Linked DNA regions of Stegostoma tigrinum. The main gene of each other region encodes a partner of the protein of the gene in region 3 in a complex. Links are inferred from orthologs where the notes say so. Each region holds a gene or a part of one and is shown on either strand. Other genes may lie near its edges.

What was found.
Region 1: rbm8a (region 3) and casc3 share a complex: the UniProt entries of both Homo sapiens proteins name them as parts of the mRNA splicing-dependent exon junction complex. The link is inferred for Stegostoma tigrinum from reciprocal best matches to the Homo sapiens genes RBM8A and CASC3.
Region 2: rbm8a (region 3) and upf3b share a complex: the UniProt entries of both Homo sapiens proteins name them as parts of the mRNA splicing-dependent exon junction complex. The link is inferred for Stegostoma tigrinum from reciprocal best matches to the Homo sapiens genes RBM8A and UPF3B.

Annotation. Positions count from the first base shown.
Region 1 is NC_081384.1:12,318,196-12,329,602, forward strand, and holds the start of casc3 (protein CASC3), read left to right. Parts: upstream 1-6,455; 5' UTR 6,456-6,478; coding exon 6,479-6,625; intron 6,626-11,259; coding exon 11,260-11,287; intron 11,288-11,407. UniProt on the Homo sapiens protein: Required for pre-mRNA splicing as component of the spliceosome. Core component of the splicing-dependent multiprotein exon junction complex (EJC) deposited at splice junctions on mRNAs.
Region 2 is NC_081368.1:16,062,705-16,073,563, forward strand, and holds the start of upf3b (regulator of nonsense transcripts 3B), read right to left. Parts: upstream 5,522-10,859; 5' UTR 5,415-5,521; coding exon 5,304-5,414; intron 4,117-5,303; coding exon 4,010-4,116; intron 616-4,009; coding exon 509-615; intron 1-508. Other genes in the region: ndufa1 (NADH dehydrogenase [ubiquinone] 1 alpha subcomplex subunit 1), read left to right, coding at 5,739-5,840. UniProt on the Homo sapiens protein: Involved in nonsense-mediated decay (NMD) of mRNAs containing premature stop codons by associating with the nuclear exon junction complex (EJC) and serving as link between the EJC core and NMD machinery.
Region 3 is NC_081400.1:7,590,593-7,601,479, forward strand, and holds the start of rbm8a (RNA-binding protein 8A), read right to left. Parts: upstream 5,652-10,887; 5' UTR 5,584-5,651; coding exon 5,517-5,583; intron 1,933-5,516; coding exon 1,873-1,932; intron 1-1,872.

The DNA.
Region 1 (11,407 bases), on a different chromosome or scaffold from region 3:
TCACCTGATGAAGGGGCTACACTCCAAAAGCTTGTGTTTTCAAATGTAACCTGTTGGACTATAACCTGGTGTCGTGTGATTTCTGACCTTGTCTACTTCCATCAAGAAGCTCCTCAAAATCTACCTCTATGAATGAGCTTTTGGTCATTGGCCCTCATTTTTTTGAGGATGTAATTAGTAGGGCAGAACTGTTCTGAAGATGTCATATTGAACTCAAAATGTGAGCTTTGTTTCTTACTCAAACGCTGTCAGACCTGCTGAGTTTCTCCAATCTTTTCCGTTTTTGTATTAAATACTGAGATATTATTGTCTGGCCTTGAATCCAGAATACGGGATAGGGAACAGTCCCCGGTCAAGGGGTCAATTGCATTGGCTAAGATGACGAGACATTTCTTCAGTCTGAGGCTTTGGAATTGTCTTCCCCAAAGGGATGTGGATGATCCATTAATGAGTATACTGAAGGCTGGGATGCACAGGTTTTACTGGTTGGCAAGATGTTATGAGTGATGTGCCACAGGGACCAGAGCTAGTACCTCTGTCTTTTAACGATTTACGTACGTAACTCAGATGAAGGTACTCAAAGGTATCATTGCTACATTTTTTGCTGACATAAGGATAGATAGGAAAGGAAGTTGTGAAGTGGAGATAAGGAAGCCACAAAGGGAGACAGAGTGGGCAAAGATCTAGCAAATGGAACAAAATGCAGTAAAATATGATATTGTCCATTTTGGCAGGAAGGAAAAAAGGCATGTGATCTAATTGGTGAGAGCTTACCAAGCTCTGAGATGCAGAAAAATCTGAATGGCCTACCTCATGAATTGCTAAAGGTTTGCATGTAGGTATAGCAAGTAATCAGGAACATTTATGGAATATTATGGTGCTTTTTTTTAGGGGAATTTAATTCAAAAGTAGGGAGGTTATGCTTCATTTGCTTCAAAGCATTGGTGAGATCAAATCTGGGATACAGTACAGTGCACAGTATTGGTCTCCTTATTTAAGAAAATATGTTGTGTGTGTTGGAAGAGGTTTGGGGAACATTTACTCGAAGGTCTAGTAAACTAATACGTGGAATGGGTGGGTTAGCTTGTAAGAAAAAAATGGATGGGGTAGGCTGGAATCCACTAAAGGTTTAGAAGAGTAAGAAGCAGCTTGACTGAAATATATAAGATTTGTACTTGACAGGAAGTTTCCTATTATGGAATAATTAAGAATTAGGGCCACATATTTACGGCAGGGATGATGAGTTTTTTTTTCCTCACAAATTTGAGAGTCTTTGGAACTCTCATCCTGAAAAGCCAGTGGAAGCTGAGTCTCTGAATATTTTTAAGGCAGATGTGAAACGATTTTTTGGTAAGCAAGGAGACAAGCAGTTATCATCAGTAGGAGAAATGTATAGTAAAAAGAAAATCAGCCATAACCTTGCAGAGCAAGCTTGAGAGGCTGTGTGGCCCTTTCCTGGTTCAAATTTTCTTGTTAGTGATCATATTTTTGGTTTCTCAGGGGAATCAAGGGACATGGGGAGCAGTTGGAGAACTGAAGTTTGAGGCAGAAGATCAGTTGTGATTGTATTGAATTGTGGAGCTTATTTAGTCTACTCTTGGCCTACTTTATACGTTCTTATCTCCTCATGTGTTCAGCATCACGTTTTTTTGGCACCCATGAAACATCTTTGTCTGCTTTATTATGTCAAAGAGGCTTTAGAAGTACAAATTACAATGCTACTGTGGAGCAACTTTGTCCATTTTGTTAAATCAAAGTCATTGCAAACACTGCATTAAACTCATGCTACATGTGTGCAGCTGCATGATGTATTTGCTGCAGTTGATTTCTTATGACTTTGCCACACAGAATAAGTTTTGGTCAATTAGATCTCCTAGTGATGTTCAACTGTCTGAAATTAACTTGCAGGTGGTTTCATGTTGGTGTCTCTGAAACTACTATTTACGACAGTGAAAGGGCTGGTTACAGCTCAAAGTGTGTTTGTGGTGTATATTGTTGATTCCTGTTATCATTGTGGCAGTAATAGAATTATTGACTTCAATGATGCATTTTCCTCTGTCAATAAATTGACTAAAATATATGAGTGGTAAAAGGCGAGGGGGTCTGTTCTGATAAACCGATTAACTGAATTAACCAAAATCCTTGTACTTTAAGTTTTCAAACACAAGTGACTTACTTCTTAGAATGTATTACATTTTCTATGTCTGTCACACACTCATTACCTGGGCTTCGTGCTTCCAGACCACGTACCAAGATTTTCACCACAAGATTGAAGTTCTCAAAATTCCAGAAACTGGAGATCCCTTTATAATAGTTAACATCTTACTGCTTGAGGGAAAGTCACTTTGACTTCGCTTTCTCTTGGTAAAGCTGTGGAAAATCAAAGATTGCTTCTACTAATATTTATTAATATTAAATGTTTATTCTCTTTTGTTTCCATTGTCACTCCAATACACAGCACTGGCAAAATGGTGATGGTTTTTAGTCAGTTAATCTTGTTGTAGCTGTTGGCATTCAGGTCTTTGAAGAAAAGTTTGTGGGTTCTCATCCTTTTCTGGGATTTGACCAAGCTCTCTCAGCTTCCATTCCAGTCAGCTCTGGTGCTACCACTAGGCCCAAAACGTCAGCTTTTGTGCTCCTGAGATGCTGCTTGGCCTGCTGAGTTCATCCAGCTCCACACTTTGTTATCCTGGTGCCACCACTGTCTGGTCATCCAGCAAAATTTGGGGAGTGTTGGGTGCAACAAAAATACCTTTTAACAAAATATTGGAACTGAAAGCTAGACAGAAACCCATGCAGCTGCCCAAAGTCAGAATAAATTTCCTGCTCTGTCAGTTTCTGACACAGGTACAATTAGATTATTATCAAATTGCCAGTGGATAATGTGCTTAAAAATTTTCCCAGTTAGTTACACTAACGTGTAGGTTAGGAGGCCAGGGTTCAGGTCCCATCTGCTCCATAGCTGTGAAATAACATGTCTGAACAAGTTGTTTAAATTAACTATAAAGGGACTGGAAGGGTTAAAATATGTTACAACTGATTTACATATTTGAACCCTTCCAGCCCCTTTATATTTCACAGCTACGGAGCAGATAGGACCTGAACCGAGGCCACCTAACCTACATTACCACTACTTCACCAGACTCTTACAATATTGTTTAACCAAACAACATTTGGATACCCAAAAAGCACAATCTGCCGCTACCTCCATGACAGACCACAACAAGAAGACACAACATGGCCAGGCACATTAGTCACCCTACGGTACTTCAGAGACATATTAGAGATGACCAAAAGACTACTCAGATCCTGAGGTATCAGTCCACAAACCAACAATCACCCTGTGACTGCTACTACCAAACATGAAGAATCCCATACCCACAACCAATAAAACTACTGTAATACACAAAATACCATGCAAGGACAGTGAGAAACATTACATCAGCCAAATTGGAAGAAAACTGACAATAAGGATACATGAACACCAACTAGTCACCAAGAGACAAAACCAATTCTCATTAGTCTCAATACACAGGGACAAGGAACGATACAAATTCAACTGGGACAACACATCCATACCAGCACAAACCACACAGAGACATGTCAGGGAATTCCTGGAGGCCTGGAATTCCAACCAGAACTCCATCAACAAACACTTTGAACTGGGTCCCATATACAAACCACTGAAAAACAGGTCCGGAAGCGATGCCAACAATCCCAGCAAACTAAGGCACATAAATAACAAGCGGGACAGAACACCAGTGCTTCACTGGAGGCACACTGATAATGTTAACGAACAGGGTGACAAAACATCTGCAATCAAAATTGCCGATTTGACAACCACACCTACAGTCTCATCCGCAACCCTAGCTACAAATCTTCTCAAAAACTTTAAATTGTCTGAATATGTTGATTAAAAATGACTAATACTGCTGTGTTACTTGATGGGGATTTTTCTTATTCTTAGAAGATGCTGCACCTTGAAACCTCCTGTGCATAGATACAAATGCCATTGTCAGTTGGTTTGTTAATAAGTATTTATCAGCTGCTGGCACAAATTTACCAGAAAATACGATTGTAGAAACTGTTCATCCATGTTTCCAACCCTTAGCCAAACCAAACCAAACCAAAATCTGAACAAAGATAACAAAGTGTGAAGCTGGATGAACACAGCAGGCCAAGCAGCATCTGAGGAGCACAAAAGCTGACATTTCGGGCCTTTCCACATCAAGCAGATGTTCACCTGCTCATCTGCCAATGTGGTATACTGCATCCGCTGTGGCCTCCTCTACATTGGGGAAACCAAGCAGAGGCTCGGGGACCGCTTTGCAGAACATCTACGCTCGGTTTGCAATAAACAACTGCACCTCCCATTCGCAAACCATTTCAAGTCCCCCTCCCATTCCTTAGACAACATGTCCATCCTGGGCCTCCTGCAGTGCCATAATGATGCCACCCGAAGTTTGCAGGAACTGCAACTCATATTCCACTTGGGAACCCTGCAGCCCAATGGTATCAATGGGGATTTCAACAGCTTCAAAATCTCCCTTCCCCCACTGCATCCCAAAGCCAGCCCAGCTCATCCCCACCTCCCTAACCTGTTCTTCCTCTCACTTATCCACTCCTCCCACCTCAAGCCGCACCTCCATTTCCTACCTACTAACCTCATCCTGCCCCCTTGGCCTGTCCGTCCTCCCCGGACTGACCTATCCCCTCCCTACATCCCCACCCACACTCTCGTGTCCACCTATCTTCTCCTCTATCCATCTTCGGTCCGCCTCCCCCTCTACCTATTTATTTCAGAACCCTCTCCCCATCCCCCTCTCTGATGAAGGGTCGAGGCCCAAACATCAGCTTTTGTGCTCCTAAGATGCTGATCAAAATCTGAACATCAATCTGGTTGGTTCTTCCATTTCATGGATAAGGTGGTCCTGAACTTGCTTACACTATCTTTAAAGCAATAATCTGTCTTATGAAATGTTGTTGGCAAATCTTAATTTCTACCTTACCTGGCCTGGCCTACGTGTGACTTCAGACAATAGCAATGTGGTTGACTCATAACTGCCCTCTGGTTAAGTAGGGACGGGCAATAAACAATAAACAATACCGCTACAATCTGCCAACTTCGCCAGTGACACCCTCATCCTGTGAATAGAAAAAAAATTGCAACTCACGATTCAAGAATTATGATTTTTAAAAATGGTTTTGCCCTTAGCAATGGTGATTAGAGTCTTCCATGGTCCTGTATATGCCTTCTTGTCCCTGGAGAAAGGTTAAACATGCCGGATGGGGTTCAAACACAGACTCCTGGTGTATTCCTTTTCAAATCTTGCCAGCCTAAAAAATATCCATTTCCCATTACTCAGTGTTTCTCAACCAATTTTGTGTCAACATTGTTATTGCCCAGATTTGGAAAAATTCTATCATATTTCTCTCCAAGAAGAAAAAGAAGTTCCACATTTTCCATGTTTGACTAAGTGTCTCCTCCCTGGAATCATATTTGTAAACCTCTTCTACGTTTACATCATTTGTAGAGCAAAGTGCTTAGAATTGTAAACAATACTCAGCTGCAGTCTTATTAATGACTTCCATTTCTCCACTGTAACCATTCTGTGAAAGATGGGACTACATGCTCAACATTCAGTGGATACCACAGAATGGAACTGTCTAATTGTACATAAGGTGTGGAGCTGGATGAACACAGCAGGCCAAGCAGCATCAGAGGGGCAGGAAAGCTGATGCTTCGAGTCTAGACCCTTTTTCTTGCTCCTCTGATGCTGCTTGGCCTGCTGTGTTCATCCAGCACTACACCTTGTTATCTCAGCTTCTCCAGCATCGGCAGTTCCTACTATCTCTGTCTAATTGTCTAAGGTTCTTCTAAACAATGGCATGGATTTTCTTTCATTTGGGTCCCATTTTAGAATCATGTAATCCCTAGAGTGCGGAAGCAGGCCATTCAGTCCATTGATTCCACACCGACCTAGCCCCCTACTCTATCCTGTAACTCTGCATTTCCAATAGTCAATCCACCTAGCCTGCACATCTTTGGACTGTGGGAGGAAACCCACGGGAACAATGTGCAAACTCCATTTAGACAGAAGGTGGATTCATGCTTTTTTTTCTGTTCAATGGCACTAGGGCAACTCAGCAAGTCCTTTTATGGAACCTTTAAAGGAAAAGTACATCAGCCCTTAGATAAGAGAATGAGGTCCACACTGCTAAAACTTTTTAGGGAGTCTAGAATTCCCAGGATGCTCTGGCCAGTGGGCGATAACAGACGTGCTGGCAGGGCATAATGGGAGTTGTAGTTTTTACGGTCTAACCACACCCAGTGTTGGAGGAACAAATTGCCCCGTCGAAGCTATGCTTAGGATTGCCGGGATATGTAGTCCTACTGACTTGACACTGGGACTTACTGCCTACAAACCCCGGTATGCATTGCGACAAGGGACCTTCCGGTTGCCTCCAAAAGGGGAAGATGGCGGACAGGCGTCGGCGACGCGCCTCTCAGGACACCGACGAAGAAGATGAGGATGTGCCCCGGTCGGAGGTGGAAGCAGGTCCTTCGGTCACCTGCATCCTGGATTTATCCGGGGTCCAGGCTCGTGAGGCCGAGTCTGAGTGTGTGAGTGTACTCTTAGTCTCTGTGCGGCAGGAAGAGAATAGGGCCTGGAACTGTGGAGCAAGCCTGGCCGCTGAGGAAGAGGGCTGCAGCCTGTCGTCACTCACTGGGCTTTGGGTCCACCCCGTGGTCAGTGACCGGGTTTAGGGCCAGCCGATGGTCAGTGATAACGGGAATTGCAGATGCTGGAGAATCCAAGATAATAAAGTGTGAAGCTGGATGAACACAGCAGGCCAAGCAGCATCTCAGGAGCACAAAAGCTGACGTTTCGGGCCTAGATCCTTCATCAGATCATGAAGTGCTTCACACTTTGTTAGCCTGTGGTCTGTGACCACTCACCGGACTTTGGGTCCAGCCCGTGGCTCGTGACCGGGCTTTGGGCCCAAGCCGCGGCCACGTTTGGCAAGTATGCTTAATTTAGTACAGTGGTGACTATGGTGGGCTTGTTTTTATAAGTTATTTTGTTGAAGTGTTTCTTTTTATAATGTTGGAAAGCTTCAGGATGTAAAAGTAATGGAGGTTAATATCGTCTCCTGATGAAGGGTCTAGGCCCGAAACGTCAGCTTCTGTGCTCCTAAGATGCTGCTTGGCCTGCTGTGATCATCCAGCTTCACACTTTGTTATCTTGGATTCTCCAGCATCTGCAGTTCCCAGTATCTCGGAGGTTAATATCGTCTCCTTATGAAATTTTTGTTTTGGTCAGACAAGTGTGGGAGCCCAGAGTTTTAATTTGGTGTATGATACTGTGTTTGGCCTTTTTTTTTATATTTGTTGTGTTATAAATTGTGCATTGCTGTTTTAAGATTGGATTGGCATTGCTGAAGCTTGTGTCTAGAGAACAATCAATCCAGATTTGGTGTATACCCATTTTTTCGTTTTACTTTGCTACATTGAAATGTATGTACCATAATATGCTACAGAATAGATTATTCTCGTGTTCGAAGTTTTGTTAGAACTATACATAGCCTTTTGCTCTGTAGAATGCTGATTTCTTAATGTTGGTTGTTCTGTTGGGTTTGTTTTTGAGTAAAGCTGATTCCACCTAGCTCATAACTTATCAGTTTAGAGGGGCAATGGTAGGGGAATGTCTGAGATAGTAAGAACTGCCAATGTTGGAGTCAGAGATAAAACAAGGTGGAGTTGGAAGAGCAGGAAAGTTGATGTTTTGGGTTGGGACCCTTCATTACAGAAGAAGGGTCCCGACCTGAAACACACACTTCCCTGATCCTCTGGCTGGCCTGCTGTGCTCTGCCAGCTCCACCCTGTTATCTGTAGTTGCTTTGACTCATGATTGCATGAGCTGATGTTTATATGGATGAATTTTGGAGAGCAACCAAATAAAAGATTTGGTGCCAGTAGAATTGTTACCGACACCTTAAAGTTACTTGTACGTGTGAGTTTGTAAAAGGATGTATTTTAGAAATATGCTAGCATGCTTTCAAGTTTATAAGATTTTTTAACTGAAGATTTCTGCTGATGCTGTGTGCAGATGTAAGACTTTAAAAATCAGTCTTGGGTCAGTTATTACACAGCTTTACAGAACTTGTGTATGGATCTATAGCTTACCTCTAGCTTTTGAAAGGCATTAATTTGCATAAATTGTACCCACTTAGTTGCTGGTTACTTGTGTGCTCTAATGAGGACTATGATTGCGATAGTGCAGGTTGGGGACACACATTTTCTGACTAGCTTTGTTTCAATTAAATACTTGAAGTTTGGCAAAATATTGAATAATATAAGGTGATAGAAATTTGAAAGTTGTCAACTGGAAGTAATCTTTTTACTTCAGTTGCTGATGGAGTTATGTATTTTCAGCATTTTGTCTATTTTAGCCCTTTACGTTTTAATTCCAGAGTAAAAATATTTCAGTTAATAAATTCAGAAGCATCAATCAATCAATCAATTTCAAAGGACATGAATGGCAAAAGAAATCCTATAAAAGTGTGATTACATGGGTAAGAGTTGTAAAGCATTTTGGTGCTGAACATATTGATGGATAATATGTAAGAAGTTAAAATCACTGTCACTAGTGAAGTTATTAAATAATTTGCCTAGTCCAAGAAAGTGAAATAAGGTGCAGTGACACTATCTCAAGTTACTAAATTAATGATTTGTTGCTGTTTGGTTGCCCAAATTTACATGGTCATAGTATCTCTCCTTTGCCCCTGCCACACCAGCTCCCATACTGATTATTTGAGTAGAAGTTTGGAGAGATGAGCACCTGTAGAAACAAACAACATCGATCCATGCTTCTAAAACTGGTAAATAGCACACTGACAGTGGGATTTCTTGCTTAAAAGCAGTTTGTTACGTGTTGCAGTGATTTGCTTTTCATGTAGTTTATTGCATCTGAAAAAATGTGTGAAGATGATAACTTGATTTGGACTTAGGACAAACCCAATTTAGAAGGTCATTCAAAAGTGCAAATTGTGACCAGATCTTTAGATACAGCATCAGAATTTTAAATGAAAAGACCCAACAAATAACCAGGCCCAATTAACTTAGCTGATCTACTTGGTAAGAAGACTGCAAAATCTACTATGAATGCATTATCTCTAATAATGTGTGATAAAAGCCTTCCTCCATTTTATAACATATTGACAGCGTCACGTTTGTTCACTTGGCAAACCTACTGCTTCTGCCCATCTTTGGTTGTCTGAAGGTTCCTGTGGACTTTGGCAAAGTTTGACTAAGAAGACTTCCATTGCTTTCCCACAAGTCTGAGTATAGTGTGCTGAGAAAATGCTGAGCTGGAAAACTGGAAAGCCGTTGGTCTGAGAACCAAACCATATCGCTGCTTCCAGTACCTCAAGGAGTGCTCAATATAAAGTGCACAAGATCAGAATTAATAGCTGTAACCACACAACGGTGGGAAATCGATTCATTAATTGAATTGTTGTCAATTGTGCTTGAAGGTGTTGAAACAAACTAGTATTTACTAGTTGATTTCTCTTTGGATGTAATTATGTTTTCAATCTCTAGCGATTTGGCAGACAGTTCCATTTTAGTTTTATGGATCAGAGGTTTTTGTAGGTGCCTCTCATAATACCAGCAGTTTGCTTTGGAATCATCGATGGACATCTTTGAACTCTGTGATTAAGCGATGTTTCACAATGGAACCTCGCTTCACAATATTTAATTTTTGCGGGCAGGAAAGAAATATTCACCGTTTCACTGGAAGTGCTTAGCCTGACTTTTCTAAAAACCATTTTGATGGAGCCCAGACACAATCAACAATGCAGCAAGTTGACAAAATCTCCCAGTGCTCCTAAGATGCTGCTTGGCCTGCTGTGTTCATCCAGCCCCACATTTTTTATCTTAAAATTTTGCTATTTGTGAGCTGTGAATTGATGTATATGGCTTTGAACCTCCTGCTCCAGCCAGTTTGTAAATATCAGTGAGCTTTTCCGTATTATGGCATGTAGGGTTAGAGGATGTAAACAGTGTGCTTTGAGATTTTGACTTTTTTTTCTTGAATCTGCTAAACCTCTTAGCATATGGGACTTAAACATTTGTTAAATATTTCTGTACATGCCAGGGATCCAAGATGAGTTGTTTTTTTTTTGAGAACCTGCAGATACAGATAATTTGGTTTTTTTAACTAATACAAAATGTTTTTTGTGTGTTAAAGTCTGTTACCAATGATAAAACAGAAGGTTCTTTAAAGAAAAATTTTCTGATGGTGAATATGGTAGGATAGAAAGTGTCTTCTCATGCAGCATCTATTTGGTGAGATAATGAATGTGCCCTGTTTTGGAGAGGTTTACTTGTACTTGGACAGCTTTTAGTTAATAACTTCTGAGCCTTTGCCTTCCATTGTCATTCGTGTGATAGTATTTTATTGTTATGAAAATATATTTGATATAGAAAGTTTCTGGCTGCTGGATTTCTACAGTGTATGTTTAAATCTGATTTAAAAACTTAAAATCATTCATTCCGTATAGTATTATTTATACTGGCTGAGTTTTAAATAAATTGCTATCTCCCAGGAATTGGAAATTGTAGTCCATTCCAGTTAACGTCAGTTTTTACCATTTCTCAAAACAGAGCTTGCATAATTTGTTTATATGTAATGCTTTAAAATGTGATGTGAATCAGTGTTCGAGATGTTTCATGTTGTGTAACGTTCTGTGAAGTATCAGATTTTCAGTTTTGACCCCAGAATTGAACTTGATGTACATCCCTGAAAGACAATAAGCACAGTAGTCGGTTCTGTTGTTTTCTGTTGCAGGGTACAAATTACTTGGAATCATTTCCTGAACATGTGAATTACAAAATTTGGAAGAATTTTTGAGTAGACCAGTACTGCTGCGCAAATTTTGTTTACATTTTTGCTGTGTCCATTTCCTTGCTATGATCGGATGATTTTTTTTTCGCAAGTTTTGCCAGAGTTGCTAATTTTATAAATTTCTATGTTGCTCAGTATCTCAGCAGTTGTTAGTGGTGGGGACATTAAAGTTCCTTGAAGGTCTTGTTACTGGGAGGTATATATATGTGTTGGTTAGCTGTAGTGGAGAATTAGTGCTAAATATGAAATGACTAATATTTGAGTCACAGATCTCAGACCGGTACATTACATTTAAATATAATAAAATAAACATAGGATGAATACTAATAAAAATTTGTTTCTTTTGTAGGAGAGTGAAGATGGCATTGAAGGTGATGGTAAGTACTATGCTGCATGCAAATTTTATTGATTTCAGTTAAGGTGCTGCATTCTTGTCCCCTTGTCTCCTAATTCCTAAGCAAATGAGATTTAGTTTGCGGATAAAATGATAAAGTTAT
Region 2 (10,859 bases), on a different chromosome or scaffold from region 3:
TGTTATTCACAACTGAAATAAAGTTTTTTTTAAAATAAAAGATATGTGGATTCTCGAAAGCAAAAAGAAACCCTCCATTGTAACAGCATGCTTTAAAAGCACATTATGTCTGATCATAGCAGTACTCACTAATAGATTACACTAAAGCGAAAATCTCAGCAATATTTCCTTAAGTATTAAAAGGAAATCATTCACTATTTTCTCTCTGTCTGTATTATTTGATTTACATAAGACAAGTTCATTTAGTAATGAGAAAATCAAATGATGTTTCTGAGCCAAATGTGAAGTTTCTGAGAATAATCTTTAATTTAGCTTTTTACCACATTTCCAATACACCAGTGTTGTTAAAAGCGATCTTCTATTAATATGAAAGGCAATACTTAGAATAGACAAACGCACACGATTCCTAACAATGCATTTTCGAAGGCAAAGGATTTATGAGATGTCAAAATGTAGAAAACAAGACAGTGTTGGTATACACTAACATGCAGAGTCAAAACTGCCTTACCTTTGCTATCAATGAAAACATAGCCATCAAACTGATCCCTGAAGAGGACAATGTCATCTTGATTTTTAAAGTTGATGTACGCTCTTGAAAAGATGTGCGGAAACAAACTATGGAAAAATAATTTAGATTTTAGGCTTGAATTAAATTGAAGACGTAAATATGAGACATTATTGTGGGAACACCACATAAAATTTGCAGCAACATATACAATCACGAAGTTTCTCTCATTAGGTTCTGATCAGAATTTACACAAAACACATGAGCTGCAGTGAGTCACATATCCTATTGGGTTTGCACCACTAGTCAGTACAATTACAACTGATCTCTTTGGTTTCAACTCCACGTCCCTGGCCATTCCTTCGATTTCCTGAAAGGCCACAAATCAGACTGAAAAAGCATTAAGCATTAATCAATGAAAGAACATCCACAATCCTCTGGGATAATACTTCTAAAGAGATTCACTTTTTTTGGTGAATTCATTTCACCTCATCCGAGTCAAACACAATTGACTCCTTATTGCAAAACACTTCTTGTTCTGGTTTCCTGATCAACAGAAAAAAAATCTATTAGTGTTCACCTTGTCAAACTCCCTCAGAATCTTTTATGTTTCAATGTGACAACATCTCATTCTCCTAAACCCCAGAGACTATTAGCCTCTTAACGTAGCTTAAAACAATTTAACCCTCTCATCCCAGGGACAAACCAGTGAACCTTCACTGTGTTCTCTCCGATGCAAACTAATCCTTCAAATAAAAAAGGAGACCAAATAACTTGTCTATTTTGCCCAAAGAAAACTTTAATAAATTTATCAAACACAATTTCACTTTTGTAAGGCTACACTGACTTTGATCTTTCTACGATTTTCAAAGTGCATTGTTAAAGCTTATTTAATCTTACTATCCAGCACTACCCTGATGACCAATATAAGGCTAATTGCCCTGTAGTTTCTGTCTTTCTCTCTTGCTCCCTTCTTGAATAGCAGTGTCACATTTGCTAATTTCCAATTTGCTGAGACAGTTCCAGAATTTTTGTAAAATCATTGCCAATGCATCTACCATCGCCGCAGCTCTCTCATTATGATGACCTCTCTCATCACGATAGATCTTGGGAATTATCAAATTTTAGTCTCCCAAATTCACCAATACTTTATCTGGAGATTTTAATTCCCTCACTCATTGCTGTAAGTAGACAAGTGCTGCATAGGTCTTGTGACCTCGTGAAAATGGACAAAATAGCTGTTTAATGTTTCTGCCATTTCCTCACTCCCTATAATAATTTCTAATGTCTACTTGGTTACTTTAAAAAAAAAGTTATATATATATATGTTTGATCAACATTTTGTTGGTATGGTTTTCAACATAGGCTTCTGCTGGTTTTACCTCCTGCAACATTTAGCAGCTTTATAAATCTCTTTCCAAAAAAATACAAACTCTAATACTATCCTTAATTTCCTCAATAATTTGGATCATTTTTATTGCTGAGTTTTTCAACTGAATGTATTTTTGTTTAATATTTTGAATTGTTTCTTTGGTGCCCACTATTTATATATCACTATATCTTATTGCTTATTGACCCAGTCAACCTTACCCAGCTCTCTTCTCAAATCCATGTAAATTGCTTTGTTTAAGAACAAGATTCTTGTTTGAGACTGAAGTATGTCATTTCAATTTTATAACGGAATTCAAAGTTTTTGAGAAAATTTGTAGCTCTGGTTGTGGATGAGGTTGTAGACCTGCTCATCAAGTCGTTGTGTTTGATTGCAGATGTTTTGTCACCCTGATAGGTAACATTGTAGTTCGCCTCCGGTGAAGCAGTGGTGTTCCATCTCGCTTGTTATTCATACGCCTCGGTTTGCTGGGGTGGTTGGCATCACTTCCGATTCCATATTTCAGTGGTTTGCATATCTGGTCCAGTTCAATGTGTTTGTTGATGGAGTTCCGATTGGAATGCCAGGCCTCCAGGAATTCCCTGGCATGTCTGTTTAGCTTGTGCTATTATAGATTCCTTGCATGGAACTTACTCGCTAACTTACAATTACTATTGTAAACTCTCTGCTTCTTCCTGTCTCATTTTACTTGTCCTCACCCTCATCACTTAATGTTCCGTTGCCTCTAACTTTGCCCTTGGAATTTCTACATCTTTCTTCAACTTGGTCCTGCCCCCTTTTGTAGGCTACACGTTTATTTTGTTCAGAATTTGAACCAGTGCCTGAATACTAGACAAAAACTCAAATAAAACTTTTGCATTTAACTCAAAAGGTTGAAATGTATTTTTGAAATTACTGTTGATACAGTAGTTTAAAATCAATAAACAAAAGCAAAACACCAGATGGAACTTCCCCAAAAGATCAAACACAATGACTCATGAAGGATTTACAACAAAAATCCACTTGACTAATTTACTAAAGATTATATGCCCTGAAATCACTGTCCAAAAATCAAGCTGTTTGTAGCCAAGGCTTTACACTTAATATCAAAGCACTGATGCAAGCAAGCAGTACAGAAATGCTTCCTGCAGCATGAGTCAAACAATGGTTATGCTCAGTTAGAAACAGGTGCAGTGACTGACTTGAGACATTATTGAATCTTAGCACTGTGGTATACTAATCTTTGAGCAAAGCTGAACTCTAAAATAAATCAATTTAATCACATATTATACATATTTGTGTTTATTTACAACTGCTGTAACATTGCTGTATGGTTCTGAGACCTGTAGTCATAGAGGCAAGTGCACACAACAGCATCTATACTGAAATTAAATACAAAACACTGCAGAATCTTTGGATAGAGAAACTTCAGTTCTGAAGAAATTCCTTGACATGAAACGTTAATCTGTTTCTGCCTGATGCTACTCAGTCTAAGTATTTCCAGCAATTTCTTCTTTTGTTTCAGACTGCTAGCAATGCAATAGTTTGCTTTCGTTTACTGCCCCAGTGCAGCTGGTGTGAAAACTGTAGACAGTCTGCCAGAAGAGAACTATGCTTTTGCTCATCCACATCCCTCAGGACCACATTAAATGTTAGATTTGGTGAAGCAGCACTTTATTACATGGCCGTAATATAGTGCACTGCAAAGCCCAAATAACTATATGCACGGTACAAAGTATAGGTTGTAAATGACAGCAATCTGAAAGCTTTTCACATGCCACAGACAACTGGGATCTGACTTTGGAGTTGAGTTGACAGCTTTATTGACCGCATATTGAAAACTATTCCATGGTCCGTCAGACTTACAATCTATGTGACTTTAAAATTGTTTTGCTATATACGCACAAATTGAACTAACATTTCTCAGTTCTAAGATTTCATCAGATGACATGACCATGAATATATCACCACAGCATCTATATCTGATTAATATCAGAGGTGGTTTAGGCCCTCATAATAAATAAGAGTTAAAAAGAAAATAGATAGCAGCTCCTCTGGCTTTTAAGGCACCTTGATAATGTGGCCCTTGTGATTTAAAAGAAATTTGATAAAATTCTGTCATAGTAACAACCTACCTTGAATTGGTAGAGAAAAACTCGAAATAATCATGCTCAGGCAAAGGGGCAAGTTGCTCTTCTAATTGCTCTTTTGTTAGACTTGGAGGCAAACGACGGATCACCACCTGATGGATAAACGCAGTTCAATATCTATCAGCTACTTCTTTACCAAAAAAAAGTCAAATGTCAAAGCAATTTAAATTGAGAAACAGATCACACAGATTAGGTACCTAGTGAGCTACTTAAGCTCTCAACATCCAAATTACAAAAACAAGAGCAAACAATCCCATTACTACAATTTAGCAACAAAGGTGACGACCCTGCTGTGATGAGAGCCCAATCAATAAAGTATTATGGAAGAAACATCCTAATGACAAAACATTCATCAATAAAGAAGCTACTTTAGCATCAGGATCATTTAAACATTGCAAAATGTTAAACCTGTTTTTCTCCACAGATGCAGCTTGACCTCGAGTACTTACAGCATTTTGTTTTAAGACAAATCTGAAGTATTTGGAGAGCTAATCAGTAATTGAGAGGCAGCAACAAGATCCAGGAATGACTCAGCCACAAATTCATTTTCATACAATATGCAATTCTCCGAGATTAGCGTGGTCGTCACAAGTAACTGTGCTTCTCACAAAGAGGTAGAATAATCATTCATTAAAATTACGTACAGAAAACGGATTGTGAGGGGAAACCGGAAAGCAGCCTAGGGCAGCCTAGATCTGAGGAAGGATCACCAGACCCGAAACACTAACTCTGATTTTTTTTTTCTTCATAGATGCTGCCAGACCTGCTGAGCTTTTCCAGCAACTTCTGTTCTTGTTCCTGATTTACAGCATCCGCAGTTCTTTCGGTTTTTATCCAGAAAATAGGCTAACTGCCTCGGAGCATTGCACAAACACTCTGACAGCTTCAAGTAGTGAGGTAAAAACCAAAAGAACTGCGGATGCTGTAAATCAGGAACAAAAACAAAGTTGCTGAAAAAGCTCAGCAGGCCTGGCAGCATCTGTGGAGGAGAAAACAAGAGTTAACATTTCAGGTCCGGTGACCCTTCCTCAGAACCTGAAGCAGTGAGATTTTAGCCATGATGGTGAACACGGATTACGAAGGAAGCCATTTAGGCGGAGCCAAAAACCAGAAATTTCTGGAGAAACTCAGCAGGTCTGGCACCATCTGTGGAGAAAAAAAGTTAATCTTTCGAGTCCAGTGATCCTCCCTCAGATGAGGGCTGCAGTTCTTTGTCTTATTTAAGTGGAAACATTGCCTCCTGGACTGTATCCTGGCTGAGGCCTGTTGCTTCACAAACCTTGGTCAAGACCTCTTTTTTCTCCTTCTTTTCGGGTTTCTCTGCCCTTTCCTCATATTTGACCTCCACTTTCTTCTCCCTGGGTTTGGTATTCTCCTTATCTTCCTTCATGCCTTGAGGAGGCAAGCTGCGGCTTCGAAAATAAACAGGCCTACCCCGCTGACAGAGCCAACTCCAACTGAGCCGGCTAGCCTTTGGCTCCCTGTCACGTCACTCAAGCTCCGCCCCCTCTTCTGATTGGTCCGCGCCGGAGGGGGAAACGGTTTTTGAGGCGTGGTCACCACGGACCAATCGCCACGGGGCTTGCTGCGCAAGATTCCCCGCCCTCTCCTAGGAGAGGCAGTTATCGCGAGAGGAAGTGGTGGGGAAAACGAAGTCCCTTGGGGTTTGTGTGTGCAGTGGGGTCTTGGCGAAGGTCGCTGTGAGCGAGTTGCGATGTGGTATGAGATCCTGCCCGGGCTTGTCATCATGGCCGGCTGCCTGACGGTGCCTGGCCTCGCCACCATCTACGTTCACAGGTGGACGAACGGCGGTAAGGTAAGCAGCGGAGCTTGTAGCCGTTGTCGGTTGGCCCTTTCGCTGAGGGGCCTGTGGGGGCTGAGTCAGATTCTCGATCTTGAAAGGTGATGGGAAAGTTTGGGAAATTGCACGTTTGGAATGTCGGATCAGCCGTTAATGTATTTTATTCATTGAGGAAAAAAGAGTATACATAGTCACTGACAAAACAGTGCGGAGCTGGAGGAGCACAGCAGGCCAGGCAGCGTCAGAGGAACAGGAGCAGCTACTGTAAGCGTTTCTATACTGGCTTTGCACATGAATAACGTACAAACATCTAAATTTGGCATTCTCTGCATTTGCAAAAATAAAACAAGGCATTTCTTTCTTCAGGAGGGTTACATTGATATGTATTGAGGTACTAGAGGTATTTCTAACAGAGCTCACTGAGATACATAGCAGAAATTGGACTCCTGACTTATCCACCACAGATACTGAGGCAGTTGTTGCTGGTTAAATCTGAGGGATAACAGTGGTGAAAGTGTGCTGTGCTGTTTGCAGTGTCAACTTTAAGGTGAGACAGAAAAGTGAGAAATGGATAAATGAATGGACCAGAGATAATGGGAACTGCGGATGCTGGAGAATCCAAGATAACAAAGTGTGGAGCTGGATGAACACAGCAGGCCAAGCAGCATCTCAGGAGCACAAAAGCTGACGTTTCGGGCCTAGACCCTTCATCAGAGAGGGGGATGGGGAGAGGGAACTGGAATAAATAGGGAGAGAGGGGAAGGTGGACTGAAGATGGAGAGAAAAGAAGATAGGTGGAGAGGAGAGTATAGGTAGGGAGGGGATAGGTCAGCCCAGGGAAGACGGACAGGTCAAGGAGGTGGGATGAGGTTAGTAGGTAGGAAATTGAGGTGTGGCTTGAGTTGGGAGGAAGGGATGGGTGAGAGGAAGAACAGAGTAGGGAAGTGGAGACAGGCTGGGCTGGTTTTGGGATGCAGTGGGGGGAGGGGATGAGCTGGGCTGGTTTTGGGATGTGGTGGGGGAAGGGGAGATTTTGAAGCTGGTGAAGTTCACATTGATACCATTGGGCTGCAGGGTTCCCAAGCGGAATATGAGTTGCTGTTCCTGCAACCTTCGGGTGGCATCCTTGTGGCACTGCAGGAGGCCTATGATAGACATGTTGTCTGAAGAATGGGAGGGGGAGTTAAAATGGTTCGCAACTGGGAGGTGCAGTTGTTTATAGCGGGAGACGCGGTCAAGGGTGTTCTCGACCACTGCGGGGGGGGGGAAGTTGCGGTCCTTGAACTTGGACATCTGGGATGTGCGGGAGTGGAATGCCTCATCCTGTGAGCACATGCGGCGGAGGCGGAGGAATTAGGAATAGGGGATGGAATTTTTGCAGGAGGGTGGGTGGGAGGAGGTGTGTTCTAGGTAGCTGTGGGAGTCGGTGGGCTTGAAATGGACATCAGTTAATAGCTGGTTGCCTGAGATGGAGACTGAGAGGCCCAGGAAGGTGAGGGATGTGTTGGAGATGGCCCAGGTGAACTTGAGGTTGGGGTGGAAGGTGTTGGTGAAGTGGATGAACTGTTTGAGTTCCTCTGGGGAGCAAGAGGCGGCACCGAGACAGTCATCAATGTAACGGAGGAAGAGGTGGGGTTTGGGGCCTGTGTAGGTGCAGAAGAGGGGCTGTTCCACGTAACCTACAAAGAGGCAGGCATAGCTGGGGCCCATGCGGGTGCCCATGGCCACCCCCTTTGTCTGTAGGAAGTGGGAGGAATCGAAAGAGAAGTTATTGAGGGTGAGGACGAGTTCGGCTAGGCAGATGAGGGTGTCGGTGGAGGGGGACTGGTCGGGCCTGCGGGACAGGAAGAAGCGGAGGGCCTTGAAGCCATCTGCATGAGGAATACAGGCGTATAGGGACTGGACGTCCATGGTGAAAATGAGGTGCTGGGGGCCAGGGAATTGGAAGTCCTGGAGGAGGTGGAGGGCGTGGGTGGTGTCACAGACGGAGGTGGGGAGTTCCTGGACCAAAGGGGAGAAAATGGAGTTCAGATAAGTGGAGATGAGTTCGGTGGGGCAGGAACAGGCTGAGACAATGGGTCGACCAGGGCAGGCAGGTTTGTGGATTTTGGCAAGGAGATAGAAATGGGCCATGCGGGATTGGGGAACAATGAGGTTGGAGGCTGTGGGTGGGAGGTCCCCTGAGGTGATGAGGTCATGGATGGTGTTGGAGATGATGGTTTGGTGCTCGGAGGTGGGGTCATGATCAAGGGGGCGGTAGGAGGATGTGTCGGAGAGTTGGTGTTTGGCCTCGGCGATGTAGAGGTCAGTGCGCCATACTACCACTGCGCCACCCTTGTCTGGGGGTTTGATGGTGAGGTTGGGGTTGGAGCGGAGGGCTGCCCGTTCTGCGGGGGAGAGGTTGGAGTGGGTGAGAGGGGTGGAGAGGTTGAGGTGGTTAATGTCTCGACAGCAGTTGATGAAGTGGTCGAGGGAGGGTAGGATGCCTGGGGGTGGTGTCCAGGAGGAGGACTTGTGTTGGAAGCGGGTGAAGGGGTCAGTGGAGGGAGGGCTAGGCTCCTGGTTGAAGAAGTAAGCGTGGAGGCGAAGGTGGCCGAAAAACTGCTGTGTCCAAACGTGACTGGTATTCGTTGATGTGTGGTTGTAGGGGGACAAAGGTGAGCCCCTTTTGCTTAGGACTGACCATTCATGCTCAGTCAGTGGGAGGTCTGCGGGGATGGTGAAGATTCAGCAGGGCTCAGTGTGGCTGTCTACTCTGGGGTTGTGGGTGGAGCAATGAGGTCGTCTGCCGTGGGCGGGGTGTACTTTGTGTACCCTCTGTGTACTTTGGCAGAAAGTGATCTATTCCAGTTGTGCCTTGGCAGCAATAGCTGCCCCCAGCTTTAGTGCACCCCTCACCACGTAGTCCTGGGCCTTGGAATGTGCCAGTCTGTAACACTCGGTTGAGGTCAACTCTTTGCACTGGAAGACTGACTGGAGGGGCCAGATGGCCCACACCTAGCCCTATGTCTTACAGTCTCCTCTCTTTTCTGTTCCTACAAACATACTTTTATGTCATGGGGTTGGTTGACCAACGTCAATTTGAATTGGAGTAGCTCTTTTAAAGTGTCGCGGGTTCTTTTGAAGGAGTGTTAATGAATGAGCCCTTGGAAGGCCCCTCTCCTCCTATTTTTCCAGTCTGTATCCTGAGAAGGGTAAAAAAACCTTCCTCGCTTTTCTACCTCACCTTAAAGTTGACATGGCAGACAGTGCAGCACTCCCTCACTACTGTTATTTTGCCACAATAACCAGCGGAATTGCCTCAGTACCTGTGTTGAATAAGTTTGGAGTCCTGTTTCTGCTGTGTGTCAGGAACCTCTGTTAGAAATGCCTCTGTATGGGCATCAGTTGAAGAGGATCATCTACAAGATAGAAGTCAGGAGTGTGATGAAATTGCCAGATTTCTGAAGGGCCCAGACCCGAAATGTCAGCTTTCCTGCTCCTCTGTTGCTGCCTGGCCTGCTGTGTTCATACAGCTCTACACCTTGTTATTAGAGCATAGAACAATGCAACGCAGAACAGGCCCTTCGGCCCTCTGTTGCGCCGGCCTGTGAACTAATCTAAGCCTCTCCCACTACACTATCCCATCATTTATCCATATGCTTATCCAAGGACTGTTTAAATGCCCCTAACGGTTCTGGGAAAGAAGTGGGACAATGAGGGGCAGATGGCAGCCATTCACGTTGGACTGTTTGTACCTGAACAGAGCTGGCACTGAGGTCTCTGCAACATTTTATCTTGGATTCTCCAGCATCTGCAGTTCCCATTATCTCTGCAGTTTTAAACCTGTCCACAGAAGAATACTCAGCTAACTTGGATCCACGGCCACTTGAAATTTATTATTTTGGTGATGTCTTGCAGTTTAGTATGCTTTTTATGAAGTGTCTTTCGGTGCATCCTTGTGTTGTGGTAAATCGTCCTCCAAAGTTTGGGGCTGCAATGCAGCCAAGAGGTTTCTGCACATAAGCAGCCCCCTTTGAGTAGTTGTGCAAAAATCTTCAGGTACCGTAGACTTAATTTGATTGTACACTTTTTCAAAAGAAAATTGGTCCAGCCTTTTCTAGGAGAACTAATGCTTAGCTCACCTGATCATATTAGGGAGAGTCCTTGTCATGCACTCAAATATGAAGCCTCCCTGCTTCCTCAACAGAGGCAAGTAGGAAGCAGTGAGACTGCAGAAGGCCTTGGACAAGAGTGGGCAAGCAAGTGGCAGATAGAATTTCCCCATTTTGTATTCCGACGTTTTGCATTTTGGTAGGAAGAATAAAGGTGTAAACTATCTTCTGTGTGAGAAAAGACTTCAGAAATCTGAAGCACAATGGCACTTGAGAGTCCTAATTCAGGGTTCTTTTTTAAAGTTAACATTGCAGAATCAGTTAGGAAGGGAAATGCAATGTTTGCATTCAGTTTAAGACAGCTAGAATTCAAGAACAGAGATGTACCGCTGAAGCCGTATAAGGGTCTGGAATATTGTGAGCAGTTTTGGGACCCGTATCTAAGATGCTTGTGTGAAAAGCTTGTAGCAGTTTGCTACACTAAAGGAGCTATACAAATGTAAATTATTTATTTGTAACTCAGGCTGGAATAGAATATAAATTTCAGATTTTCCTTTACATTTTGTAATCTAATGTCCGCTGTGAATTTATTTGAAGTATCAAACAGAAATCTGTTTATGAACATAGCACATGCCTGGACTTTTAAGCTTTTTAAAATACTGATTTGTTAAGAGTTTCCTTTTAATGAAGTATTTTTTTGTCTGTTTGCCTTACAAGTTAAGGATTATATAATGGATGTAGCTGAAATTCACCCAGTTGGAATCAGTGTCAAAATCCATTTGAGAGCTTCTGTAGTAGTACCGGTCTTGGCAATAAGAATAGAAGTATTCATTCAGGCTTGTTACTGATTTAAACATTATGCTTAAGTACCTTTATAAGAATATAACAGTTAAAATATTGAATTCCTACTTCTACTTGATTTTTCAAGCAAAAAGAAATA
Region 3 (10,887 bases):
GAATTCTCTCCCCAGAAGCTCTATCAGAGTACATTCCAGGTGGAGATCAACAGGTTCCTGCATATTCAAGATGCCTGGGCTGGCGTGGCACTGCTGCCCCACAGTGCTGAGAACCTGCGTTTGATTCCACCCCAGTGTGGCTGTCTGTGTGGAGTTTGCATGTTCTCTCCGTGCACGTTTCTCCCAGGTGCTTCCATTTCCCCCCACAATCCGAAGCTGTGCACGTTAGGGTGGAGTGGCCATGCTAAATTTCCCTCCTTGTCCACGGATGTGCAGGTTAGGTGGGTCAAACGTGGGAAATGCAGGGCTACAAGGATGGGAGAGTGGTCTGGGTGGAATATTCTTTGGAGGGTTGGTGCGGGTGTTCTGGGCCAAACAGCACCGTAAGCATTCTATGATTCTACGTCTAGGCATATGGGAATACTATGGGAAAACAGTTTTGAGGAATCAGATGTAGAAGACTCTGAATGACAGAGCAGGCTCAAGTGGCTGAATAGCCTTCTCCTGCTTTTAGTTCGCACAGACGTACTGGCAAGTTTTTGTCGAACATGACTTAATCCCTGGCTGAGTCTAAAAGGGGATGATGGCAACGTCCAGGAGAATGGCCATGGGAAAAACGTGGGGGATTTGAGGCAAGCTGACTGATTAGTGAAGGGAATCCGCAGAGACATGTTGGGCTGAAATGGCCTATATCTGTGCTGTTACCACTGGATGAATCAAATTATTTGATCCATTAGTACATTTAACTTGTCTTTCATGCTGAATTACCTAAACCACTCAGAGAAAGCAATATTTACAAGTTGTTCACTATTTAAAGAAGACTGCTGATACTTCTTTCTCCAAATTAATACATCATATTTTCCCACATCAAAGTTCCTTTTCCACTGCCATACCTGTCATATCTAGGCATTTCCAGCCCATCTGTGTCTTCCTCACAGCTTCTTTTCACAATGAGCACCACACTAGCAGTAAACTTCTTGAGTCATACAGCACAGAAACAGTCCCTTCTGTCCAACTTGTCCAGGCCGACTGCATTTCCTAAACTAAACTAGTCCCATTTGCTTTGTGCTTCCAAAACTAAGAACATACTGTCCAACATTAGATGTGATCGAATAATTGGGGAAAACTGAACTGTCCTAAGAGTGTCAAACAATTATATCAAAAACCAATTTAAGATCATTAATCAAGCTCTTAGTCCAATCTCCTCCTTAAACTCACTGATGGACTGTAAACAGCTTTCCAGAGGCCTCACCACTGAACACTGAGCACCTAAGAAGCAACATTCAGAGTGGAAATAGTTATAGACAAAACGCTGAGGGAGCGCCGGACTGTCCGAGGGGCAGCGCTGAAGGAGCGCCGCACTGTCCGAGGGTCAGCGCTGAAGGAGCGCCGCACTGTCCGAGGGTCAGCGCTGAAGGAGCGCTGCACTGTCAGAAGGTCAGCGCTGAGGGAGTGCTGCACTGTCAGAGGGTCAGCGCTGAGGGAGCACTGCACTGTCAGAGGGTCAGCGCTGAGGGAGCACTGCACTGTCAGAGGGTCAGCGCTGAGGGAGTGCCGCACTGTCAGAGGGTCAACACTGAGGGAGTGCCGCACTGTCAGAGGATCAATGCTGAGCAAGCGCCACTAACTCTAAACAGTAAGTTGCAAATCCTGGATTGCAACCCTGGGAACTTTCACCAGAAACATGCCAGAGCCTAGGATATCTGCAGCAAGTAATGCACCTCCTGAAGCTGCAAAGCCTGTCCATCCTGATAAGGTGCCACTCACAATGTGATAACATGCACTCAATGTTCCTGGACAGGTCCAGCCCCAGACCCAGCCCCCACCAACAGCCACTCAAACGTCAGCACAGGAAGATGATCTGCTACTCACCAGAGCCAAAGCCTCGTCCCTTTCGCTTCTTGGCCTTTTCCTTCAGCTTATGAATACTTTCTGTAAAATAGACAAACAGTATCAGTGTAGGGGTGGGAGAAAGCGAAGGGGTGCAGTCAGCTGGGTGAGAGTCAAGCACATACGCGGGAAGGCTTCAGGTTATGTGCTGGGAAGGATAGAGCGTCAGAATAGCAAAGTCAAGCTGTCACTTGATTAAAGGATGTTTCAAGGGAGGACACATGGTAAGGGTGGGGAAAATGAGCTGCGTGACTGGGCCGTCATCAAACTCCAACAACAAGGAAACCACGGAAACACAGAAAATAAGCACAGGAATAGGCCATTTGGCCCCTTCCAGCCTGCTCTGCCATTCTATAGGATCGTGGCTGATCATCCATCTAAGTCCTGTTTTCTCTCTCTCACCCTCAATATCTCCACAAACTCTATTGAACTCCTTGAAAACATTCAATGTTCCAGCCCCGACCGCTTCCTCTAGTAAAGATTACCACAGGCTCCCCACTCTCTGAGTGAATACATTTCTCCTCATCCCAGTCCCACCCTACTTCCTTCAGACTGTCACCCCCTGGATATGAATTCCCTTGCTCTGGTCACTGGAAGCATCCGTCCTGCGTGCATCCTGTCTAGTCCTGTTAAAATTTTAGAGGTTTCTATGAGATCACCCACCCTCCCTTCTTCTAAACTCCAACTGAATACAGTCCTAACTGATCTGGTCCCTCAGTCTTGCCATCTCAGGATTCCGTCAGGTAAACTTTCACTGCACTCCTTCCATAACCAGGAAGTCCTTCCTGAGATACAGAGGCCACACTGCACCCAATACTCCAGATGTAGTTTCACCAAGGCCATGTACAACTGCAGCAAGACATCCCTCCTGTACTTGAATCCTCTTGCTATGAAGGCCATCACACCATTTGCCTCTTTCGCTGCCTGTTGTTCCTGAAATGCTTACTTTCAGCGACGAGTGCAAAAGGCCATCCAGTTCTTCTCACACCTCCCCCCTTCGTCATCTATCACAATTCGGAGAATACATTATCTCCCACCCTGTTTTTGCTGCCAGAGTGCATAGCCTCAGATTTATCTCGATTACATTTCATCGCTCAAGCATCTCCCACTCACTCAATGCTGTCCTAATCACACTGAAGCATCTCCGCATCCTCCTCACAGTTCACCTTCCCAACTTGCTTTGTCTCATCTGCAGGCTACAGATGTTACATTTTATTCCTTTACCCAAATCATTAATATATATTGTGAAAAACTGCAGTCCAAGCACCGAACCTTATCACACATCACTGCTTGCCACTTGAAAAAAAAACTCAATTATTCCTGCTCCTTGCTTGCTGTCTGCCATTCAGTTCTCCATTCATATCAGTACATGCCCCCAATTCCAGGCACTTTAATTTTACATGCTAATCTCTTATACGGGATCTTATTGAAAGCTTTCCAAAAATCCAACTAAACTTGGAGAAGGGATATTTGCTCGTGTTACTATTGGGACGCTTTAAACTAGAATGGAGGAAGGGTGGGAGGATCCTAAGCACTAGCAACAAAACAAATGATGGCCGAGGATGGCTGGAATTAGAGGAAGCGAGTTAAATAGAAAGACAGGCAAAAGCACAGCAGAGAATGGGGTAAAGCAGATGAATCAAACTGTATTTACTTCATGATCAAATCTCATTGGAACAGTATCGGGGGATCAACTCACATTGGGACAGGGTCAGGGCGGATTGATTCCCATAGGGACATGGTCACGTGATGGACTCTCTTTCAGAAAATCGGGAATTAATTCCCATTGGGACAGGATCAGGGTGAATTGACTCTCATAGACAGAGGGTCAGGTGCATCAATTCCCTTTTAGGGTTGGGGTGAAACGGCTCTTTGGGATACAGTTGAAAGATCAAGTCTCATTGGGACAGTGTGGAGGGGATCGAGTCTCATTGGGAGAGTATGGGAGGGATAGATTCTCATAAGGACAAGGTCAGGGGTATTGGCTCTCATTGGACAGTGTTGGGGGGGTCAACTGTCTTTGGGATGAGTCTAGGGGATCAAGTGTCAACCAAAGAGGGTCAGAGGATTGAAGATAACAAAGTGTGGAGCTGGATGAACACAGCAGGCCAAGCAGCATCTCAGGAGCACAAAAGCTGACGTTTCGGGCCTCGACCCTTCGTCGAAACATCAGCTTTTGTGCTCCTGAGATGCTGCTTGGCCTTCTGTGTTCATCCAGCTCCACACTTTGTTATCTTGGATTCTCCAGCATCTGCAGTTCCCATTATCACAGGGTCAGAGGATTGATTCACATTGGGGTAGTGTGGAGGGATTAAGGCTCTCAATGGGACAGGGTCAGGGGGACTGAGTCTCATTGGGACAGTGTGCGCATAAGAGTGTGGGGGGGGGTGATCGAGTCTCACTGGGTCAGTGTGGGAGGGATCGAGTCTCACTGGGACAGTGTGGGGGGGGGAAGAGATTGAGCCTAACTGGGACAGGATCGGGGGATCGAGTCTCATTGGGAGAGGGTCAGGGAGATGGAGGCTTGCTGGGCAGTGTGCGCGCATGTGTGTGGGGGAATCGAGTCTCACTGGGAAAATGTGAGGGGACAGATTGAGTCTCATTGGGACAGGGTCGGGGGATCGAGTCTCATTGGGACACTGTGAGGGGAGAGATCGAGTCTCATTGGGACAGGGTCAGGGGGATCAAGTCTCATTGGGATACTGCGAGGGGAGATACCGAGTCTCATTGGGGCAGTGTGGGGAGGGGTCGAGTCTCATTGGGACAGGGTCAGGAGATCGAGTCTCATTAGGACCGGGTCAGGGGATCGAGTCTCATTAGGACAGGGTCGAGTCTCATTGGGACAGCGTGAGGAGAGAGATCGCGTCTCATTGGGAGCGAGGGGAGAAGGAGTCTCATTGGGACAGGGTCCATAAGACCATAAGACATAGGAGTGGAAGTAAGGCCATTCGGCCCATCAGCCATTTAAATCATGGCTGATGGGCATTTCAACTCCACGTACTTGCACTCTCCCCGTGGCCCTTGATTCCTTGTGGCACCAAGAATTTGTCGATCTCTGCCTTGAAGGCATCCAACGTCAGGGAGATCAAGTCTCATTGGGACAGTCTGAGGGGGGGATGGAGTCTCATTGGGACAGTGTGGGGGGGGATGGAGTCTCATTGGGACAGTGTGGGGGGGGAATGGAGTCTCATTGGGACAGTGTGGGGGGGGAATGGAGTCTCATTGGGACAGTGTGGGGGGGGATGGAGTCTCATTGGGACAGTGTGGGGGGGGGATGGAGTCTCATTGGGACAGTGTGGGGGGGGAATGGAGTCTCATTGGGACAGTGTGGGGGGGGGATGGAGTCTCATTGGGACAGTGTGGGGGGGGAATGGAGTCTCATTGGGACAGTGTGGGGGGGGATGGAGTCTCATTGGGACAGTGTGGGGGGGGGATGGAGTCTCATTGGGACAGTGTGGGGGGGGGGATGGAGTCTCATTGGGACAGTGTGGGGGGGGATGGAGTCTCATTGGGACAGTGTGGGGGGGTGGACTCAGGCGGAAGGGGGAGCGGGGCAGGGCCGGTATGAATCCGGAGTCTTTGGCTGTCGGTGACACTGCGGAGGAGCGGGAAGGTGTTTTATTTACCGTCACCCTCATCGTCCATGGCGAAGTCCTCGCCTCCCGCCTCATGAAGATCCAACACGTCCGCCATCTTGCCGCCGCAATGGATTCTGGGGAGGGGGCGGGGAGGTGCGGTGTTCTATGGGGGTGGGGCACTGACGTTGTTTCCGGTAGGCGTGCATGACGCGATGGCGTTGACGCCGATGCCGACGCCTGCGCGTTGAGGCTTTGGTTCCCACGACCTTGTCCAGACCCAAGATGGCGTTGAGGATGGGTTAGTCCACACTAATATGCTGCTCCACTTCAACTCAGTGAAGTATCAACTCCTCACATGGGCCAGGCTCACCACTAACACCCTCATCCGCTTAGCTTAACTTCTCCTCACCCTCAACAACTTCTCTTTCGATTCCTCCCACTTCCTACAGACTAAGGGGGTGGCCATGGGCACCCGCATGGGCCCCAGCTATGCCTGCCTCTTTGTAGGTTACGTGGAACTGTCCCTCTTCCGCACCTACACAGGCCCCAAATCCCACCTCTTCCTCCGTTACATTGATGACTGTGTCGGCGCCGCCTCTTGCTCCCCACAGGAGCTCAAACAGTTCATCCACTTCACCAACACCTTCCAGCCCAACCTTCAGTTCACCTGGGCCATCTCCAGCACATTCCTGGACCTCTCAGTCTCTATCTCAGGCAACCAGCTAGAAACTGATGTCCATTTCAAGCCCACCGACTCCCACAGCTACCTAGAATACACCTCCTCCCACCCACCCTCCTGCAAAAATTCCATCCCCTATTCCCAATTCCTCTGCCTCCGCCGCATCTGCTCCCAGGAATGAGGCATTCCACTCCTGCACATCCCAGATGTCCACGTTCTTCAAGGACCGTAACCTCCCCCCCGCAGTGGTTGAGAATGCCCTCGATCGTGTCCCCCGCATTTCCTGCAACTCATCCCTCACACCCCATCCCTGCAATAACAATCAAACAGAATACCCCTCGTCCTCATGTCCCACCCCACCAACCTCCGGATACAACGCATCATCCTCCGACACTTCCGCCATCTACAATCCGACCCCACCACCCAAGACATTTTTCCATCCCCACCCTTGTCTGCCTTCCGGAGAGACCGCTCTCTCCGCGACTCCCTTGTCTGCTCCACACTCCCCTCCAACCCTACCACACCTGGCACTTTTCCCTGCCACCGCGGCAAATGCTACACCTGCCCCCACACCTCACCCCCATCCCAGGCCCCAAGAAGACCTTCCACATCAAGCAGATGTTCACCTGTACATCTGCTAATATGGTGTACTGCATCCGCTGTACCCGTTGTGGCCTCCTCTACATCAGGGCAACCAAAACGAGGCTTGGGGACCACTTTGCAGAACACCTACGCTCGGTTCGCAATAAATCGCTGCACCTCCCAGTCGCAAACCACTTCAAGTCCCCTTCCCACTCTTCAGACAACATGTCCATCCTGGGCCTCCTGCAGTGCCAATAATGATGCCACCCGAAGGTTGCAGGAACAGAAATTCATATTCCGCTTCGGAACCTTGCAGCCCAATGGTATCAATGTGCATTTCACAAGCTTCAAAATCCCCCCCTCCCTAATGAACAGGAGTAGACCAATGGGGTGCTAGTTGGTCCAGTTCATTTGTACAGAACAGACCCGGACAATTGACTCATGACTGGCATCTCCTTGGGTTCTGTACTGGGTCTCACGTTGAGCCACAGAGATATACAGCGTGGAAACAGACCCTTCAGTCCAACCAGTCAGCCAGATGCCCATCAGATATCCTCAATTAATCTAATCCCATTTTCCACCACTTGGCCCACATCTCAGTAAATCCTTCCTATTTATTTTACTCATCCAGATGTCTTTTTAATGTTGTAATTGTATCAGCCTCCACCACTTCCTCTGGCAGCTTGTTCTGTCTACGCAACCACCCTCTGTGTGAAAATGTTGCCCCGCAGGTCCCTTTCAAATCTTCCCCCCTCTTACCTTAAACCTATGTCTCTCTAGTTTAGGACCACCCTACCCTGGTGGAAAGACCTTGAGTATTCAACCTATCCATGCCCCTCATGATTTTATAAACCTCTTTAAGATCATCCCTCCGTCTCCAGCCCCCCCTGGGAAAATAGCCCCAGCCTAAACAGCTTCTCCACATAGCTCGACCCTGGCAACATTCTTGTAAATCTTTTATGAACCCTAACATCTGACAGCTTTCCTCCAGCAGGGAGACGAGAATTGAATGCAGTATGACAAAAGTGGCCTAACCAATGTCCTGTACAGCTGCAACATGACCCTCCCAACTCCCTATACTCAACGCACTGACCCATAAAGGCAAGTGTGCCAAACAGCTTCTTCACCGCCCTGTCCACCTGCAACTCCACTTTCAAGGAGCTATGAACCTGCACTCCAAGGTCTCTTTGTTCAGCAACATGCCCCAGGACCTTATCATTAAGTGTACAACTCCTGCCTAGATTTCCCCTACCATAATACAACACCTTACATTTATCTAGATTAAATTCCATCTGCCAATCCTTGGCTGAGATGCTGTTTGCTTGCTTTTTGTTGGTTCTTGGTTTAAGTTTTATTTTAATCAGGATAAATTAAAGCCCAGGATCAGGGGGCCAGCACAAAAGAGTGAAATCACAGGTAAAATCATTGATTGGTGCTAGCTACTGATTTGACTATTATACATCACTTTCAGATAGAAGTTTTACAGGCAACAAACCCAAAGGGCAGCATGAAATATTTTTGAAAAATCAAATTAAAAACTAAGGTGCCAGGCCAGGTGATGTTTTATAATTGCATGCTGTGGAAGCTGGGGGATCTCAATGTCGCTAGTAATGACCACATTCTGAGGAACTCAGGCTCAGACTCATGGAGCTAGAGTCTGAGCTATGAACACTGCTACACATCAGGGAGGGGGATAAGATTTACCTGGATGCTGGAGGCAGTCACACCCCCTAGATTAACTACCTCAAATTCTTTCAAGGACAGAAGGGTATGCAATGGGTGAGACAGGTCAAGGGATCTGGGAGGTTGTGCTGAAGGAGCCTCAGCAGTTGAGCTTGTCCAACAAGTTTGAGATTCTTGCTCCCTGCATGTCAAGAGTGGGGGCTGTAGGGAAGATGAGCAAACTCGCACTACAGTACTGCAAGCCATTCAAGAAGGGCAAGAAAAGAGAAATTCAGTTTTAAACACAGATACGTATCATCAGGGGAATAGACACGGTTTTCTGTGGCCAGGATCGAGAGTCCTGAAGGCTCCGTTACCTGCCTGGTGCCCAGATTCAGGATTTCTCATCTGGGCTGCAGAGGAGGGGAAGGATCCTGTTGTCGTGGTCCACGTCGGTACCAACAATACAAGCAGAAAGTGGAAAGAGCTTCTGCTGAGGGAACATGAGCAGCTAGGGTCTAAATTAAAGCAGAACCAAAAAGGCAATCATCTCTGGATGACTACCTGAGCCATGAGCTAATTGGCACAGGGTCGACAAGATTAAAGAGTTAAACACGTGGCTGAAAGATTGGTGTGGGAAATATTGAATTCATGGGCCATTAGCACCAGTATTGGGAAGGAGGGAGCTGTTTCAATGGGATGGGCTCCACTTGAAGTATGGTGGTGGGGGAGCGAGGGAGGGATACTAAATTGTATGGAAAATTTTGGATAATCTTAAAGAGGGGAGGGCTCAACAGAGGTTATTAAACTTGCCAGAACAAGTAATAGGATGGAGAGTGTGGAATGGGCAGGAATCAAACTTCAGGCTCAGCAGGTAAGGGAACAAGTACAGTGAGGGTGTCAATGTAGGACTAAGAGTATTGTACATAAAATGCACACAATACATGAAACAAGCTACATGAGTTTGTAGTGCAGATTGAAAATGACAGGTAGAATGTTGTGGGTATCTCAGAGACGTGGGTGCAAACTAAATATCCAAGGATGCACATCCTATCAAAAGGACAAGCCGATGGGCAGTAGGGGTGAGGCTGCCTTGTTAGTAAGAAATTAAATTAAATTAAATTGGTACAGAAGAAGTGGTATAGAGTTGGGAGGCACAGAATCTGTATGGGTAGAACTTAGGAAAAGAGACCCTGATGGGAAATATTTTCAGGCTCCTGGCTGTAGTTAGTATGTGGGGACGCAAATAAGTAAGGAGATAGACAAGGTATGTAAGGAAGGCACTATTACAACAATCATGGGGGACTAAAATATGCGGGTGTGTGTGTGTGTGTGTGTGTGTGTCTGCGAGTCGCTGAGGGAGACGCATGTGAGTGTGTGTGTAAAACAAACTCATGCATGTGCGTCTGGAATGGCTGACCTGGAAGGCTGGATTGTAAGGGCAGGCTCCTCTCGGAAGTGGGCCAGGCCCAAACAGCGAAGCAAGCTTTCAACACAGAAAGGACACCCAGGAATCCAATAAAAATTTTATTTGATCAAATGGCTAGGTGCAAAGTAGTGAGCTATCAGTCACCATGTATCAAACATATAATACTGCTTTTTAATCTAAAACGCTGGCTTCGGTACAAGTTGTGTAGTGTATAAATTCAGCCAAGTCAGAAGTAATAAGTGGATCAGAGTGAGAGGTGACGAGGTCAGTCCTGTCAAAATTCCAGCAGAGAATAAGGCATGTCAGGATAGCCTGCAAAAATGGTGCAGATTGACAGCTCCAGTGATATTGTCAGAATTGCTTACATCTGGGTGTAAGGGCTTAGTGTATGTGATATTTGTCCGTGTGGGTCACTGTGGACAGGGTGATGCAGGAACAAGGAAAGTCATTTCACCCCTCAAATCTGCTCTGCCAGTCAACAAGATCATGGCTGATCTTCTATCTCAATGCTGCTATTCCACACTCTGCCCATAAAGCCTCCAGATCTTTAATCCCTGGAAAGCTATGGATCTCTGGCTTGAACCTGCTCAAAGGTCGAACCTCCTCAGCCCTCTGGGGATAAGAATTCCAAACACAGCCCCACAGAGTGAAGAAATTCTTCCACACCTCTTAAATGACCTGCTTGCATTCAGAGACCGTGTCCTCTGGTCTCAGGCACCCTGTCCCCAAAACCCACCCCTGACTGGTTCAATCATCTCAGTTGTAATGCTCTCTCTGCAGAGAGACTCAGACTCACTCACTTCAGGCTTTTCAGCACAACGCTGATGATTGAAGTCTTAGAAAAGGCAAGGAAACATTAAAGATTGCAGTAAATAGGAAGTGACAAACACAGGGCTGGAGACCAGCAACCTCACGGCCTGCTATGATTTGGGAATTACCTTCCTGGCCTGACAGAGGCAGTGAGGCCTGGCGAGTCCAGACGCATTGCAGTCACGGTGCCCCTTTTAGCTCCAAAGAGCTGCCTGAACAATCTGGCGTGATCAGGAAAAGAGAAGAGAATGAGAGAA